Lonchura striata: one gene and its partner. The protein of the gene in region 1 interacts with the protein of each later gene in a biochemical or structural test. Links are inferred from orthologs where the notes say so. Each region holds a gene or a part of one and is shown on either strand. Other genes may lie near its edges.

Region 1 (6,782 bases):
TGTATCTGAAAAACATCTGCAGTGTTTCGGGCACAGTGGATGTGGTCAGTGAAATATGGTTCTATTTATAAGAGAGGAACTGTGTATGTAATGGCTCATTAACCATGCAAAGATTGTGAATGGATAAAAAATACTTCACAGACTGATTGGTGCAAGGTTACAGGTGACAAGCTGGAAACAGATTGGGCTGTGAGGATCATTTGAATGGAAGTGAGCAATTATCAGGTAAATGGAAATGAGAAATGCCCTCAGTCACCTAGCTTGGAAATTGCAAAGGACTGAGCTCTCAGTAGAAGAGCCAGGAGTCAGTAGAGCAGAAGGATACCAAGAATTGTTAGACACCCTGAAAACAAGGGGAATGGTACAAAAAAAAAAAAAAAAAGAAGAGGAAAATAACATGGATTAGAGTTGGTTCACCTTGGAGTTGTGTTTCTCCAAAGGAGAAAAGCTGTAATGATAAAGTCATTAAATCATCTGTTGTTGGACCAAAATGCACATTAAAAAATGATAAGCAGTCCCCAGCTGCCTTTCCCAGCTGAAGGGAAGGTTCTGGTTGACTTGTCAGACACTGCTGCATTCTGATCTACGGGCCTCCAAGGCTTTGGCATATAAAGTCTTTTCCTTTGAAAATTGTCATGTGTGGCAGCTTTTATGTGCAGTATCATGTGTCTCCTCCCTGGGGCAGAAAACACAACAGGGGAGGGGAGAAGTTTGTGTTTCAGTGTATCACAACAAGTAAGATGGTAGATTGCCAGCTCTTTATTTGCGTAGGAAACCACTGCTGCTCCATCCCTGCTACTCCCCAGGTGCACTCAGGAAGAAGCAGTGAGGATAATACCTCTTGTCCCTCCCACGACAGCTGTCCCATCCTTTCTGCTCCACATTGCCCACCCTGGTCTTCTTTCCTCCCACCAGTCCTGCAGGTGGGAGAGAGCAGAGGCTGGGCTGTTGCTGCCATTCACCCCAAGAAGTTTTGCATGCAAACTCCTGCCTGGAGCTTTGTCAGTAGCAATGAAATATTCTGGTTTAACAAGGTAGTAAAATAAATGTGCAGTTGCACTGCAGTTCCTAACAGGGCTGCCACATGCTATGCTGTGCACAAGCTGCCAGGCTGTTGGATCAGCAGGCAGAGCTCCATCCTGCAGCCAGTAACTCATCCTGGAGCCCACGGGACTGAAAGGCCTGAGAACAACACAGGAGCAGAGTTCAGGTGAAAAAATAAAGAGACTTCAGTGTTTCAGTGCAATTAAAACCTCTTAATCGTCACAAATGCACTTAGTCACGTTCCTTCCCAGTGATGTTGGTCTGATGTTTCCTTCCCTGAGCACAAAGGCGTGCAGCTGACTCGGCACAGGTGACTCTCGCTGCTGGTTTGAGTTGTGGAGCACTTTACTCGCCCTCCCTGAGCTTCTGGACAGCAAGATCTGCTTTGGGATGGAAGAATAGCACCCTCAAGAGTTGACAGCGCTGCTTCAGGGAGCCATGGTATGCAACATGCATCCTTCCTCTCCTAGTTAAATCAGCTCCCTGTTTGTATAACTTAAGCAACAAGTTTTCTCTTTAATATTTGAAGTATTCAGTATCAATCACTGTTGATATGAATGGGGAAATAAGCATTTCTGCTTGTTTGAGGGTGAGACAGTTTTAAATATTTTATTTGTCTTCAAACAGGGAGTAAAAATAAAAAGACAAAGATATGTCTTTTTGGTAAGTCTGGGAACATTATTTTGTACTATATTAAAATAATTTGAACTGGAATTTAGGATTCCAAGTAAAAATAGAAAACTTTAAAAGTTCTTAACTTAGATAAAAGGGGTCTATGTAAAAAAAAACCCCAAAACTGAGCAAACCAGTCCTTAAATTGTGGGGACTTGTTAGTTAATTACAGTAATTAGGAATGGAATCTGATCCTAAACGTTCTGATTTACTTTAATTTTTTTTAACATGTAGTTAGGCCTTAATTTCAGAATGATTATAAAATGTGAGAGTGTTTTAAGGACTTGAGAGGTGTAGGTATTGTTATTAAATCACAAGCTTAGTGATACAATTCTGCTTACACTTTCTTAGTTATCTTTCTGCTGTTTCGTGCAGCAGTGACTTTTTGTTTTAAATGTTCATGGCCTATTCCTGTTTCTGCCGACTTCAGTCAGACAAGGCCTCTTGAAAACTCTAAGAATAAACTACTTACCAGCTTTTATTCCAGATGATATCTTTCCCAGCAGGCAAAATGTCCAGCTATGTGTTCATCCCATTTCAGGAAATGGGTTCACTTGAGTAGAAAAAGCTGAATTTGGACAGTCAGGGACATTTTACTCTCTACTCTGAAACACCCAAGACTCACTCCTGTCACAGACTTGAGGCTTTTCCTCTGATCCAGGATTTTGTTCAGAGTTCTTATGAGTGTTTTTGTTGTTTAGACAGTGCTGCAGCTCCTTGTGGAAGCAGCCCTGTGAGGCACTGCTACTGCATTGAAACCAAGACATATAATTTTAGAAAATACTGACTGCATATAAAACAATTTAGGATTAGGTTTTTTTCAATTGATAGTGAAAAGTATACTCTGTGATCTGTAAATTAATGTTTCCCTGCTGTAATTACAGAATCCAGTCTCCTGAGAGGACCTTGGAGTGTGCCAACTGACTCTGCTGGCCTAGCATTTGCTCATGAAACAAAAGTTCACACCTGCATTGTGTGGAAAAAAAAAAAAAAAAAGGCGTTTTGGTGCATTGTCATTTTTGTTTCCCGTTGAATCCTTTGAATTTTTAATTGCAAGAAATCTGTCAAACCCTTTCTGAGGAATTTACTGTCACAAGTTTCTCTTTCACGGAAACACTCCGAACTAAGAATTGCATCTTTTTTTCTCCAGCCATCACTATGTTTGATTCCTTTTCCCTGAAGATCTTTCTGTAGCATCCTTAAGCCCGCACCTGCTCCAGGTGGGCTTGGCTTGTCCTTTCAAAGGGACCCTCAGAACCAGGAGAGCTGAATGCCCGTGGGACTGCCCAAGGTGCACCCGGGTGCAGTACAAGTAGGGACAGACACATCTATTCGCGTACTGCGAGTGATGGCAGCAAGAGGAGTGCTGTGCATCCTCACCCCGCCCGAACTGAAGCTTGAGACGGAGGCTCCTGAGGAGACTCTGACCTATACCCAGGAGGCACAGGGAAGCGGTGGCTGGGACTCGCAGCTCCTCTCCAGCCCCGCATTGCGGGAACATTGATGCCCCCCGGAGAAGGGGTCTGGGCAGGCCGCCGGGCCGGGCACACGCCGCAGCGCACAGGGACAGCCGGCCACGGCCGCGCTGCGCCCGCGTTAGCCCGGGTCAAGGCCGGGAGGCGGCCCGTGCCCGGCACTGCTCGAGATCGCTGAGCGTGCGGTTGGCGAAATCCGGCATTAAATTTACCTGCTCGATTCGAGCGGGGAATGATGCGGACCGCGGATGACCCGACTCAGGCTGTTCCGCGCTGGCGGGGCAGCTCCTCCGGGCTTGGGACCGGCGGTAGCGGCCGGATACCCAGGGCGGCCCGGCCGATCGCCTCCGGAGCCGGGAGCCGCCGCGGCCACCGAGCTCTCCGACCCTGCCCGCCGGGGCATCCCGAACAGGGCCGGACTCCGCGGGTCCCGCTGTGACCGGGCGAGCCCCGCGGGTCCCGGCGGAATGCGGCGCGGTCGGCCTCGGCCGGCTGCTCCGAGCCCGACGGCTCTGCTGGCAGGTAACCCCCGCCGGCGAGGCAGCGCCTTGGCTCCCAAACCCGACAGGCGAATATTCACGACTGGCCAAATATTTGCAAGTATGCGCGGATGGTGAACTTTGAGACTGTGTGCGAAGCGCGGCCGGGGAGCGCTGGGCCGAAGCTCCCGGCGCAGAGGCGGCAGCGGGCGGTGAAAGTGCACCGGCGCTTTTGGCCGCTCTGCCCGCCGAGCGCCCCGGCAGCGCGGCACAAAGTCCCCGCGCCGTCCCCCCGGGCCCCTGCTCAGCGCGGAGCTTCCTCGGCGGGAGCATCCAGCGCTCAGCGCCCGCCGAGCCCGGCGCGGCGGCGGGACAGGGGAAGGGGGGCCGAGGAGAGCGGGGCGCTCTCCCCGCGGGGCGGCGGCGCCCGGGGGCGGGCGGGAGGCCGGCAGTGCCCGGCCGGGGCGCTGGGAGCCGGCTGCGCGGCGGTCAAAGGTTCCCAGCAGGAGGTTGGACACTAGAGGGCGATCCCCGGCCCTGCTGCCGGCTGTATATATACGGCACGCAGCACCGCGGCAGCCCACTAGCAACAGGGCAGGCAGCGAGCGGAGCGGGGCTGGGCCGGGGGACGGGCTCCGGGAGCACCGAGCCGTGCCGTGCAGCACCGTGCCGCGAGATTGCTAGAGCCGCCGCCGTCCCGTTCGAAACCTGGATTGCAGGAGCCCTTCACCATGCCCGGCAGACTGTAGTTGCTTCATGGAGCAAGCCAATTTCTACGAGGTCGATTCCCGGCCCCCGATGAGCAGCGGCCAGCACCACCAGCTCCAGACTCACCTGCCCGGCAGCACCTACAGCTACAGAGAGGCTCCCTCGGCGGCGGCACCTGCTGCGGGCGGCGCGGAGCTCGGCGATATCTGCGAGAACGAGAACTCCATCGACATCAGCGCTTACATCGACCCCGCCGCCTTCAACGACGAGTTCCTGGCCGACCTCTTCCAGCACAGCAAGCAGCAGGAGAAAGCCAAGGCCATCCTGGCCGGGGATTTCGACTTCCACACCATGCATGGGGCCGGCGCCGCCGCCTCGGCGCCGGGGCACCAGCCGCAGCACCACCAGCAGCCGCTCTTCGGCTGCGTGCCCGGCTACATGGACGGCAAGCTCGACCCCCTCTACGAGCGCATCGCCGCGCCGGGCTTGCGGCCGCTGGTGATCAAGCAGGAGCCCCGCGAGGAGGAGGAGGTGAAGTCGGCGGCCCTGTCGGCCCTCTATCCCCATCACGCCCCGCAGCAGCACCCGTCCCACCTCCAGTACCAGATCGCCCACTGCGCCCAGACCACCATGCACCTCCAGCCCGGGCAGCCCACGCCTCCCCCCACGCCCGTGCCCAGCCCGCACCACCCGCACCACCCGCACCCTCCCGGCGGCCTGTCCGCCGCGGGCACCCTCAAGATGATGCCCTCGGACCACCGGAGCAAATCGAAAAAGACAGTGGACAAGAACAGTAACGAGTACCGGGTGCGCCGGGAGCGCAACAACATCGCGGTGCGCAAGAGCCGGGACAAGGCCAAGCAGCGCAACGTGGAGACGCAGCAGAAGGTGCTGGAGCTCACCACCGACAACGAGCGGCTGCGCAAGCGGGTGGAGCAGCTCACCCGGGAGCTGGAGACTCTGCGGGGCATCTTCAGGCAGCTGCCCGAGAGCTCGCTGGTGAAGGCCATGGGCAGCTGCGCCTAGCGCCGCGCCGGGACCGGCCGGGCTGCCCTGCCCGCGCACAGATACTCTGTACCGGCGTGCGGCGAGCGCGGTGTGCCGGCGGGAGGGGAGTGGGGCGTTGTTTTGGTTTGGTTTTGTTTTGTTTGTTTTTTATCAATTCACGACCTATACAAGAAGCCAGGCAGCTCAAGTATTAAAAGGTTGGTGCCTTAGAGATGACACACGAGTAAGCTGAAAACATGGTGGGTTTTCTAAGGAGAAAGGCAAGGGGACGAAAGAATTAAAAGACCATGCGTCTACACAGGGTAAATAACAGTAATAATAATAATAATAATAACAATAATAACGAAAACAGTAATAAAGCACATATAGCAACCCAGATGTGCCTTAAAAGCTGGCTGCAGGGGCTCTGGGGCTTACTATGCCCTCCAGCCTTGCAGGGTGCAAGAAGAAGGAATGAGGGATGTGCAGGCTTGAGGGTTGTGGTGTCTGGGGTGTTCTGCCAGACCCCTTCCAGCTGGCCTGCAGTGCAACAAGCAGGAGCAGCTCTGGGGAAGTCAGTGATGAGGATTTGAGGCTGAAGGATGTGCAGCCCTGGATGCCCGTTAGGAGCACTGAGGTGTGGGGCAGCCACCAGACTGCTGCCAGGACTGTCACAGCCTGGCTGGGCTGCCTCTGCCGAGCCCTGTTCCCTGCCTTGGCTGGGAGGGGGACAAGGGGCAGAACCCCTGCAGGACCGATGGACAGCCTGGGACTGATGGAGCAGCATCCTGCAAGAGTATGGTGAGCTCTCTCCATGCAAAGAAAGAGCAGCAGTGTCTTGTACTGTATGTCACGACGTGGCGAAGCACAAATGAATAAATACCTATTGATGCGGGTATTTACTATGAACTTTCAGTGTATTTTGCTTTATTCCAGGACATTTAGCTCTTCTTCAAGTCTCTGTCTGCCCAAACTGTGCCTCATGTAATGTGAAAGCCGTTCCATGTACACTAGCTATACTTTATTGCCTTACTTAGATCTTTGCCATCACCCAATTTTCTTACCTGGTGACAGAGACTATGCCCTTGTGCTGCAACGTTATTTTATTATTTGTATGGGTGGATGAGTGTGAGTGTGTGTTGCCTTCTTCACAGTGTCCTGTACTGGTTGCTGCCTCCCAACCCCAAGGCAGGAGTGCCTGGAACGGGGCATGGGCTGTGAGGCTGTACAATGCCTGTGGTGGGGCAAGGAGGCTTGTCCCTGGTGCTGCTGCACCTTTGGACTCTGGAGCTTCTCCAGAGTGAGAGAAAAATAAACAAACAAACAGGCCCCCTGGGCATTCTGGTAGCCATGCAGAACATTTCTTCCTTGTATTGTAGCTGCATAACAATTTGTCCAACTGAAGTAAGTCTTGACA
Region 2 (7,960 bases), on another chromosome or scaffold:
AATGTAAAGAGCAAAAACATTAGATTGATTGTTAAGCAAGTAAAACTCTGGAATGGGTGTACATCATCCAGTAGATACCCATGTCTGTGCTTAGCCTCTTGATGCATGAATAATCACTGTGACTTGACAGGACTGCAGCAGCGTGCAGAAAACACAGTGTGTTTCATCATTTCAAAGCACTGCAGAAAAGGCTGTGGTGGGCTGAGAAGAGAGCCTGCCTCTCTTGCTTGTTCTGATGTTAGTCCAGACCCAAAGACAGAGCCTGAAAGCACGCACATGAATTGAATTGCACGGGAAGCTTACCAAAGGAAGTGTTTGCTTGTAAACTCAGTATGAATAGGATCTTCTCTGACCGCAAGGGAAACGGAGACACTCATTCACTGTCCGCTTGTGCAATCAACTTCTGAAGTCAAAACAGGATTTGAGGTCTAAAACCTGAACCTTCACACGTCTTTCAGGCAACAGAAGAAGCCTTCATGCTCTTCAGTTAGCAGAGGAACAAAGTCAGGAGGTGCTGCTCATAAGACTCCTTGGATTTGATAACAACAGGCTTATCAAAAGGGAATCATTGAGAGTTCTGAGCTGCAGCAGCCCTCAGAGCAGCTTTGTGTGGGCTTGAGGGGAGACATCTGAACACCATTACATTGCACTCCTTTTGATGTCACTACGTGCTTGTCATGTGTTTTATATCTCAGTGGTTAATCTGCTGCCAAGTTCCACAGTGTCTGAGGATGGCTGTGGGTTATCACAGATGCTGTTCTGCTATAAAAAACATTACTTTTACTTCTTTATCACCTGGCCATACGACTACTCTTTGAGCCCCATCTGTGCAGGGTAATTCTGTACACCATTAGATTATAGATGACATGCTGTTTTTAAATTATTGGCTTTCAATCTAGCAGTAGTTAATTTTCATTATATGGCTTCAGATAACTTTTAAAATAAAGGTATTGATTTTTCATCCTTTACCAATAGTTTAATGTTAGCCAAAATATTTGTGTTCCTTGCCTCTCTCATCCATTAACTAAAATAAAGACCTTTTCATTCTTTTTTTCTGTAGCAAGCAGCCAATTTATTTATAAGTGCCCTAATCTAATAGAGATTTATTCTGTGTGTCCCATGAGACATACTATCAAAGTTACCAGACCTGTCCCAAGCACTTGGGAAGTGGGGAGATGGTTACACAATTCTCATTGCCTCTGGCTGCTCTAGTTATAGAGATAAAGGGTCAGAGAACTGGAGCAACAGTGATAATTTTGGGAGCATGTAAGGAAAAGCAGCTGCTCAGGTGAGTGTAAGCACTGGCTGAGGGCAAGGCAGGTAGATGCTTGAAAACCACATAACAAAAATTCCCTTAAATAAAATAACAGGAATGGGAGGATCAATGCCTGAGCACCAGGAATTCTGGATTCTTCAGTCTTCATCTCACAGATGCACTAAGCTGCTTGTCTGTTTCAAAAAAGAGAGAAAATATATGAAGAGCTATATTCACCTTGCCACAGTTCTGGCAAATCTCTTCTGGGTAAGACCCTTCCCTCTGCTAGGACGTGCCCATTCTGTGATACACATCCCACAGGCTCTTTTTTCTGCTGCAGTCCCAGATCCTTGCATAGCAGCTGGGACTCCAGGAAGCGAGGATACAGCAAGCAGTCCTGCTTGCTTTGACTGGCCTTTTCCAAGGCAGGATCTAATTTTTGTAAAGATTTTGCAATGTTCTTTGACTGAGAGCTCCTCAGACTTTGGTAGTATTGGGAAAGGTGCCTGTTGCACACTGTTGTCCTTTGCCAAGCATGAAGACTACTGAACTGTACTTCTGAAGGTCATCCCTGCCCACCTCACAGGTACCAAGTCCCTTTGGAACACCAGGGCTGAGTGATGGTTCCTTGTATTCTGCTGGCTCACAGCAGTTTATTTTTTCTGGCACTTGGATAGCAGGACTCATCCACAGAGTCAATGTTTTATCCCAGCATTAGGACTGTAATTGTGCACTGATCTGTGCTCCACAATGATTTTCAGTGCTGTCCACTGGAGATGTGTAACATGGCTCTGGTTCATTTTGAAGGGCTGTAAAGCCATTCAGGCTCAAATTCACCACAGGCACAACTGGGAATTACCATGACAGTGCTCATCACACTAAGCAAGTAGAGCCTGAAAAGTCTTTTTGGGGGAACGAGGAGATGGAATGATGAAGGCTTGTGCAGGGAATAGAAGGAATACCCCAAAGATAGCTTTTGATTTCAGGAGGAGACTAATGCAGGAGATAAGTCTGCATGATTAAAAGCCAGTGGTGTGATGGCAACAAACACAAGGCTGCTATGTCAAGTGTGGTAGCTCCATTTTCTGCAAAAATCTTACAATACTGAAATGTTGCAACAGTTTTTCACAAATCTCTTCCTGGAATTGCTCCTGTTCTCAGCACTGGTTCCTAACCACACCAAGGCTGCATGCAAGCACTGGCAGAGATGGGCAAGGAGGACAAGTTTCAGTTCAGCCCTTTGAGAAAGAGCATCCCATGCAGGTCATCAGACAACATCCTTGGCATTCTTTTTTTTTTTTTTTTTTTTTCATTTTGGCCAAAATTAGAAAAACCAGAAAAGCCAAAGTGGGAATCACTTCTCTGCTCTGTATCTTGAATTGGTGGGGATGGAGGAGAGTCTGGATGTGGACTTTTTCCTATGTTCTGTACCCAAAACATAAGACTAACTTGAGTAATATTTGCTACTATATGTTTAGCCATGGCATTAAGGCTTTGAGTACCTGACATCATGCCAGGCACTATAAAGAAGCAACAAAGGTTTCCTTCTGTCAAGAACTTCACCTGTTTTCCAAAGACCTGGGAGATTTAAGCTTTGGTTTCTCTTAGTCACATGTAGACAGTCAACTGTAGTTTAGTCTATACAGTCAACTAGAAGAGGGCACCCACCAGTGTTTCTGGGATGAATGTCCTAGGGGTTATATTTTCCTGGCCTTTGGGGACTGCACACCCAGTTTTAGGGCTCCAGTTAGCAGGGACACACATAGAGAGCATACCCTGTGAGAAAAGGCTGCCCAGGCACCAGGAGAATGTGGCAGGACTGTGAGGTACAATGCTGTGTGTACCTCTGCTCTCCTCACATGCCAGGTGTGTTGGGGGAGCCAGGATGACAAGAGGTGCTTTTTTGCCTTCCTCAGGACCAGTGGGTGCCATCCCCAGCTGGCTGCCAGTAGCTTGAACCAAGCACTGTGCTCAGGTGCCACTGTGTCCCCATGGGGTGGACTTAGAGGTTTTAAGTGGATGGGAGGCTGGGCAGATGAAGGACAGCAGCTTCCAGCAGTGTATGCAGCAGATCCTCGGTATGGCCCTTCTCCCCAGCAGGGACAATCAGCTGACACAGGAGATTTGGGAGAGGACACTGACACCTTCATTCCTGCTCACACTGCATCTCAGTTCGGAGGGAGCTACAGGGGACACTGATACACACTACGAATGCCCATGAGAACCTTTATGCAGGTCCATTGCTGTTTTGTCTGCACCCATTTGTTTTTGTCTGCACCCTTCCCCTGTCCCCAAAGGTACTGATAACCTTCCCCCCGCTGCACCTTGTGCTGTCTCAGATGTAGGAAGCAGCCCACACATGTGGCATCCTACCAGCTAAATTCACCCAGCAGCAGCATTCCAATCATTAAACTTCCAGGAAGGGAAAAGTAAAACAAAAGGTCTGATAGATACTTGCATGTGTTTTACCTATAAGAGGAACCAAATAAAATAGTGTGCTTTGAGAGTTGTGGTGAATCACTCAGAAACAATCTGCAGGCATTAATGGAATTTTATTTCTGGGGAAAAAAAAAGAAAGAAATGCAGGCCCTGGGATAGCCCTTTATGGCATATGCGTTTTATGTTTAAATGCATTAATGGGACTGCTATGCTATGAGTCATCCTGCACAAGAGTTTCATGTGTTTCTTAAAATACACTAGAAGTAGCTGAAGGCATGCATGGGTTTGCTGTGCAGTTATCTACCAGGAATCTGAGCAAATACCTGCACGCGTGGCATCACGGGCTTCAGAGCTGGGGGGCCCATCTTCAGCCCTCTCTGCCTCCTGTACAGATCTGGGTTGGGGAAACCAAACCAGAATAGGAGTTGATCCTACTGAGTAACAAAACACAGGGTCCCTGTGTTAATATGAAGCTTCAGCACTAAATTGCAGAAAATTTGCATATATAGAAACAGAAAACTGGAGAGTTTCCTTCTGAAGCATTTCTTGTCAAAACTACAGCTGTTTTTTTTTTTTTTTTCCCCAGGGATGATTTGTTGTCTGGTTTTGTCTCTTTTTTTTTTAAATTGTTTTTTTTTTATTTATTTTTTCCATTTACTACCAGTCTATTTACTACTGCTTTAAAGCCACACTACTGAGCCTTGTGGAGCTCCTCTCAGTCTGCTCCTCACAGGTCACTTCAGCTGCTGGCTGCTGCCTGGCTCTCCGAGCTATTCCTTTTTCGGACAGATAAAGTTTTAACATGGGAAACACCCAGTGCCAAGTATTTCTGATGGTGCACGTTACGTCTACGCTTATGAGTAAACGCTTATGCTCATACAACAGCGTTGTGATGCAAACCTTGGGGTGAGGGATGGTTATTTAGTGATTAGTGAAAAGTAAGAACTGGGGCTGGGAACCTGCAATTGTATGGGCGAGAAGATCCTGGAAAGGAAGGTGGCCTCGCTTTCTCGACACAAATATTTAAGGTCGAAGGCGGGGTGCCTGCCGCCCCGCAAGTCCCGCGGCGAGACCCCCGCCGGGTCCCCCGCCGCCCCGCCCGGTCCGCGGCAGGGCCGGGGCGCGGAGAGCGCCGGGCGGAGCGGAGCAGGCGTGTCCCAGCCTCCCTCCTCCCATTTCCCCGTGCGTCAGGCCGGGAGGAGGAGGAGAATCACCTTTTTTTTTTTTTTTATTTTTTTTTTAAAGCCTCCAACTACTTTAGCGCGGACTCGGCAGCAGATGGTGGACACAGCCCGAGGTTTCGGCGGGGAGAGCGAAGGGATGCGCCCAGCGCGCAGCGCCCGCCTGTAGCTCCGCAGCCGCTCCGCTCCCCCCATGAGCCGCCCCGCGTCCCTGCTGCCGGCCGCCCGCTGCCGCAGCGCCCCGGCCAAGCGCCTCCAGCCCCTGCACGACGGCCCCGCCGAGGAAGCGCCGGCCGCCAAGTGCCCTCGGCTCGCCGAGTGCGGCCCCCCGGACTGCCTGAGCGCTCCCGGGTCGCCGTGTGCCCCCGCTTCTCCCGCCGGCGGCGGCGGCGCGGCGGGTCCCAGCCTGATCGCCTCGTACCTGCTGCTGCCGCTGGCCGAGCGGGAGCAGGTGTCCAGGGCGCTGAGCGTCAGCTCGGGCCGGGAGCTGCGCTGCAAGGTGAGCGGGAGCTGCGCGGGTGGGAGCGGGTCCTGCCGGCGCGCCCGACCACCGGCCCGGGCGCAGCCCTGCCGAACATCCATCCTCCCGCTGCTCCCCGGCCGGAGCGCCCGGCCAGCCCCCGGCGGCGTTTGCACGCCCTGCGAGTGAGCTGGGACTCCGACTTACCTCGGGGCGCCTTCCCCCCAAAGGCTGTGGGAATGGTGGTTTGGTTTAGTTTCCCCCCACAGCCTTTCAATTTACAACGAACAGGAAGGGTCTCGGTAGCCGCTTCTGCCGGTCTTGCCGAGCCCTGGCTTCCCTCCAGCTCCCTCGTCATTGTTTGGGGAGAGTTGCTACGCGAGCTGCAGCTTTCAACGCCCTTGAGAATGAATTCGGGTTTAATTTCCTCTATACAGGTGTTCCCTCTCAAACACTACCAGGACAAGATCCGACCTTACATTCAGCTGCCGTCACACAGAAACATCACCGGGGTTGTCGAAGTCATTCTCGGGGACACCAAGGCCTATGTGTTCTTTGAAAAGGACTTTGGGGACATGCACTCCTATGTGAGGAGCTGCAAGAGGTTGAGGGAAGAGGAGGCTGCCCGGCTGTTCAAACAGATTGTCTCTGCTGTAGCTCACTGCCACCAGTCAGCCATCGTACTTGGTGACCTCAAGCTCAGGAAATTTGTCTTCTCTAATGAAGAAAGGTAAGTGGCTGTCAGCAGCCAGCCCTGGGGTGAGTGGGGAGGGAGGAATGCCACATCCAGAGACACAAAAAGCGTCCCAGGGAGTGGAAACAGCTCCGTCAGCCGGGCATCACCTGCGAGCAATCCGAGTAGGTCCTCATCACGTGTGTGTAGTAGGTCACGGATCTAAGCGGTGCGCACTCCCTTTTAGTTAGATCTTGACTGATGAAAGGGAGGAAGCTCGCCGGGAGCTTCCTCTCATTCAGCAGAAGTTCACTGAAACCCGCTGGCAGACAAAGGGATGATAGTTCAGATGCTCGTTAGCGCCAGAAGATGTCATGTGTGCCACTCATTCAGTATCAAATGAATAAAAGGCAGAGAGGGAGAGGGGGGAGGCTGAGGTGTTGTGCCGGGAGGAGGAAGCAGCCTGGCTGGGGGAGCAGGAGATGTGAGGAGCTGGAGCTCTGGTCTCTCCTCGGGAGAGTTGCCTTGTGACCCACGGTGGAGCCCCAGCACTTGGAAAGGGTCTCCTTGCTGAACCACTCTGCTGATGAGAGTGATGCTGCTGAACCCTTTGAGGCTTTTACCCCACTTCCACTGCTGTGCTTCCCATGCCCCCTGTGCCCGTGGATTGTGGGCACACACAGGAGGGAAGGTGGGATATGGTTAAATAATGCTCTGGGAATCCTGCATCAAAGAAAATCACTTTTGTAAAACTTAGCCTAAAGCCTAGGTTCATAGAGAAGATGATAGAATCATAAAATCTAGTTGTTAAATTTAGATTAGGGAAATATTCAGTATTCCCCTGGAGTGCTGTGCTCTTGCGGTGCTTCATCACACGTGGCAGAGTCAGAAATACAGCAAAGCTGATTATTGACTAGCTGCTTATCCCAAGCAATGTTAAAAAAACTAAGTAAAAGCTGTAATGGAGTTGTGCTTAATACAATAAAAATGTAAGGTGATATTACTGATGCAAAAGAAAAGGGATTTTGTTTGTTTTGTTAAACTGGGCTAATGATTCTTCAGGATATCTTTTTACGAATGTGATAAGAAAATTAACCAGCGCTGCCCCTCTGAAACAACCATATGTTGACACGTAAAGAAAGCTATTCCTTTGAAGGAAACTATTGCAGCTTTTCCCTCCCATAAGAAGATGAAACATTTGTTGAAATGTTACGTTGCACACAGTCTCGCTCATTTGGAAATAACGTGTTGCACAGGCGATGTCATGTGCATCACATTTGGCAAGAAGAGGGTTAAGCAATGGCAGGCGACGCGGGCTCCCGCACAGGTGCAGTTTCAGGGCTCCGCAGCCAATCCCGGGCCCACGGTTCTCGTTGAGTCATATTTTCCGTTTGCAGAACCAATGGGTATTTGCCGAGGTCAGGCTGAGGACAAGCTGAAGCCAACATATCTACACCCCAGCAGGCTGCCAGGCAGTGCAGAACCCTTCCAGGGCTGGCTGATGGCTTCCCTGCCAACAGGAGCTCCCCTTACCCTCCAAAATAGGAGGCTGGGGACCCATCTCTACCTGGAGATGGTGGGTGCAGTGATATGCTCCAAAAGGCAAAAACAATAAATTATGAACTAAAATGAAAAAAAAAAAAAAAGCTTCGGAAAGGCAATGATCCTCACCAGTGCAGAGGGGAGCTGGGGTTTGTGGTTTATGGAATCACACAGCTGGATGCTGTTTGCTCAAAGCCTGAACAGCACACAGTGGCTGTAAAGTGCCATGTCACCAATTAACCCCCTGCAGTGGCACTGCAACCTGCGTGGGTAGTGGTGACTTGGTGTTCCTCAAGAGTCCTCTGTGTTGTTTAAATCTCCAGTTAGTAAAAAAACATGAGCGTCACTGAATGCTGGCCCGGTGCACACAGCAGCCCTTCCATTACACATTCTCAGGCGTCTGGGCAGCT

What was found.
Region 2: the proteins of CEBPA (region 1) and TRIB1 form a complex in vitro, tested with the Homo sapiens proteins (2 studies listed by BioGRID and IntAct, with this or other methods). The link is inferred for Lonchura striata from reciprocal best matches to the Homo sapiens genes CEBPA and TRIB1.

The regions. Positions count from the first base shown.
Region 1 is NC_134615.1:5,207,602-5,214,383, forward strand, and holds CEBPA (CCAAT/enhancer-binding protein alpha), read left to right. Parts: upstream 1-4,116; 5' UTR 4,117-4,426; coding exon 4,427-5,404; 3' UTR 5,405-6,274; downstream 6,275-6,782. UniProt on the Homo sapiens protein: Transcription factor that coordinates proliferation arrest and the differentiation of myeloid progenitors, adipocytes, hepatocytes, and cells of the lung and the placenta.
Region 2 is NC_134603.1:11,725,279-11,733,238, reverse strand, and holds the start of TRIB1 (tribbles homolog 1), read left to right. Parts: upstream 1-4,952; 5' UTR 4,953-5,068; coding exon 5,069-5,374; intron 5,375-5,772; coding exon 5,773-6,065; intron 6,066-7,960. UniProt on the Homo sapiens protein: Adapter protein involved in protein degradation by interacting with COP1 ubiquitin ligase. The COP1-binding motif is masked by autoinhibitory interactions with the protein kinase domain.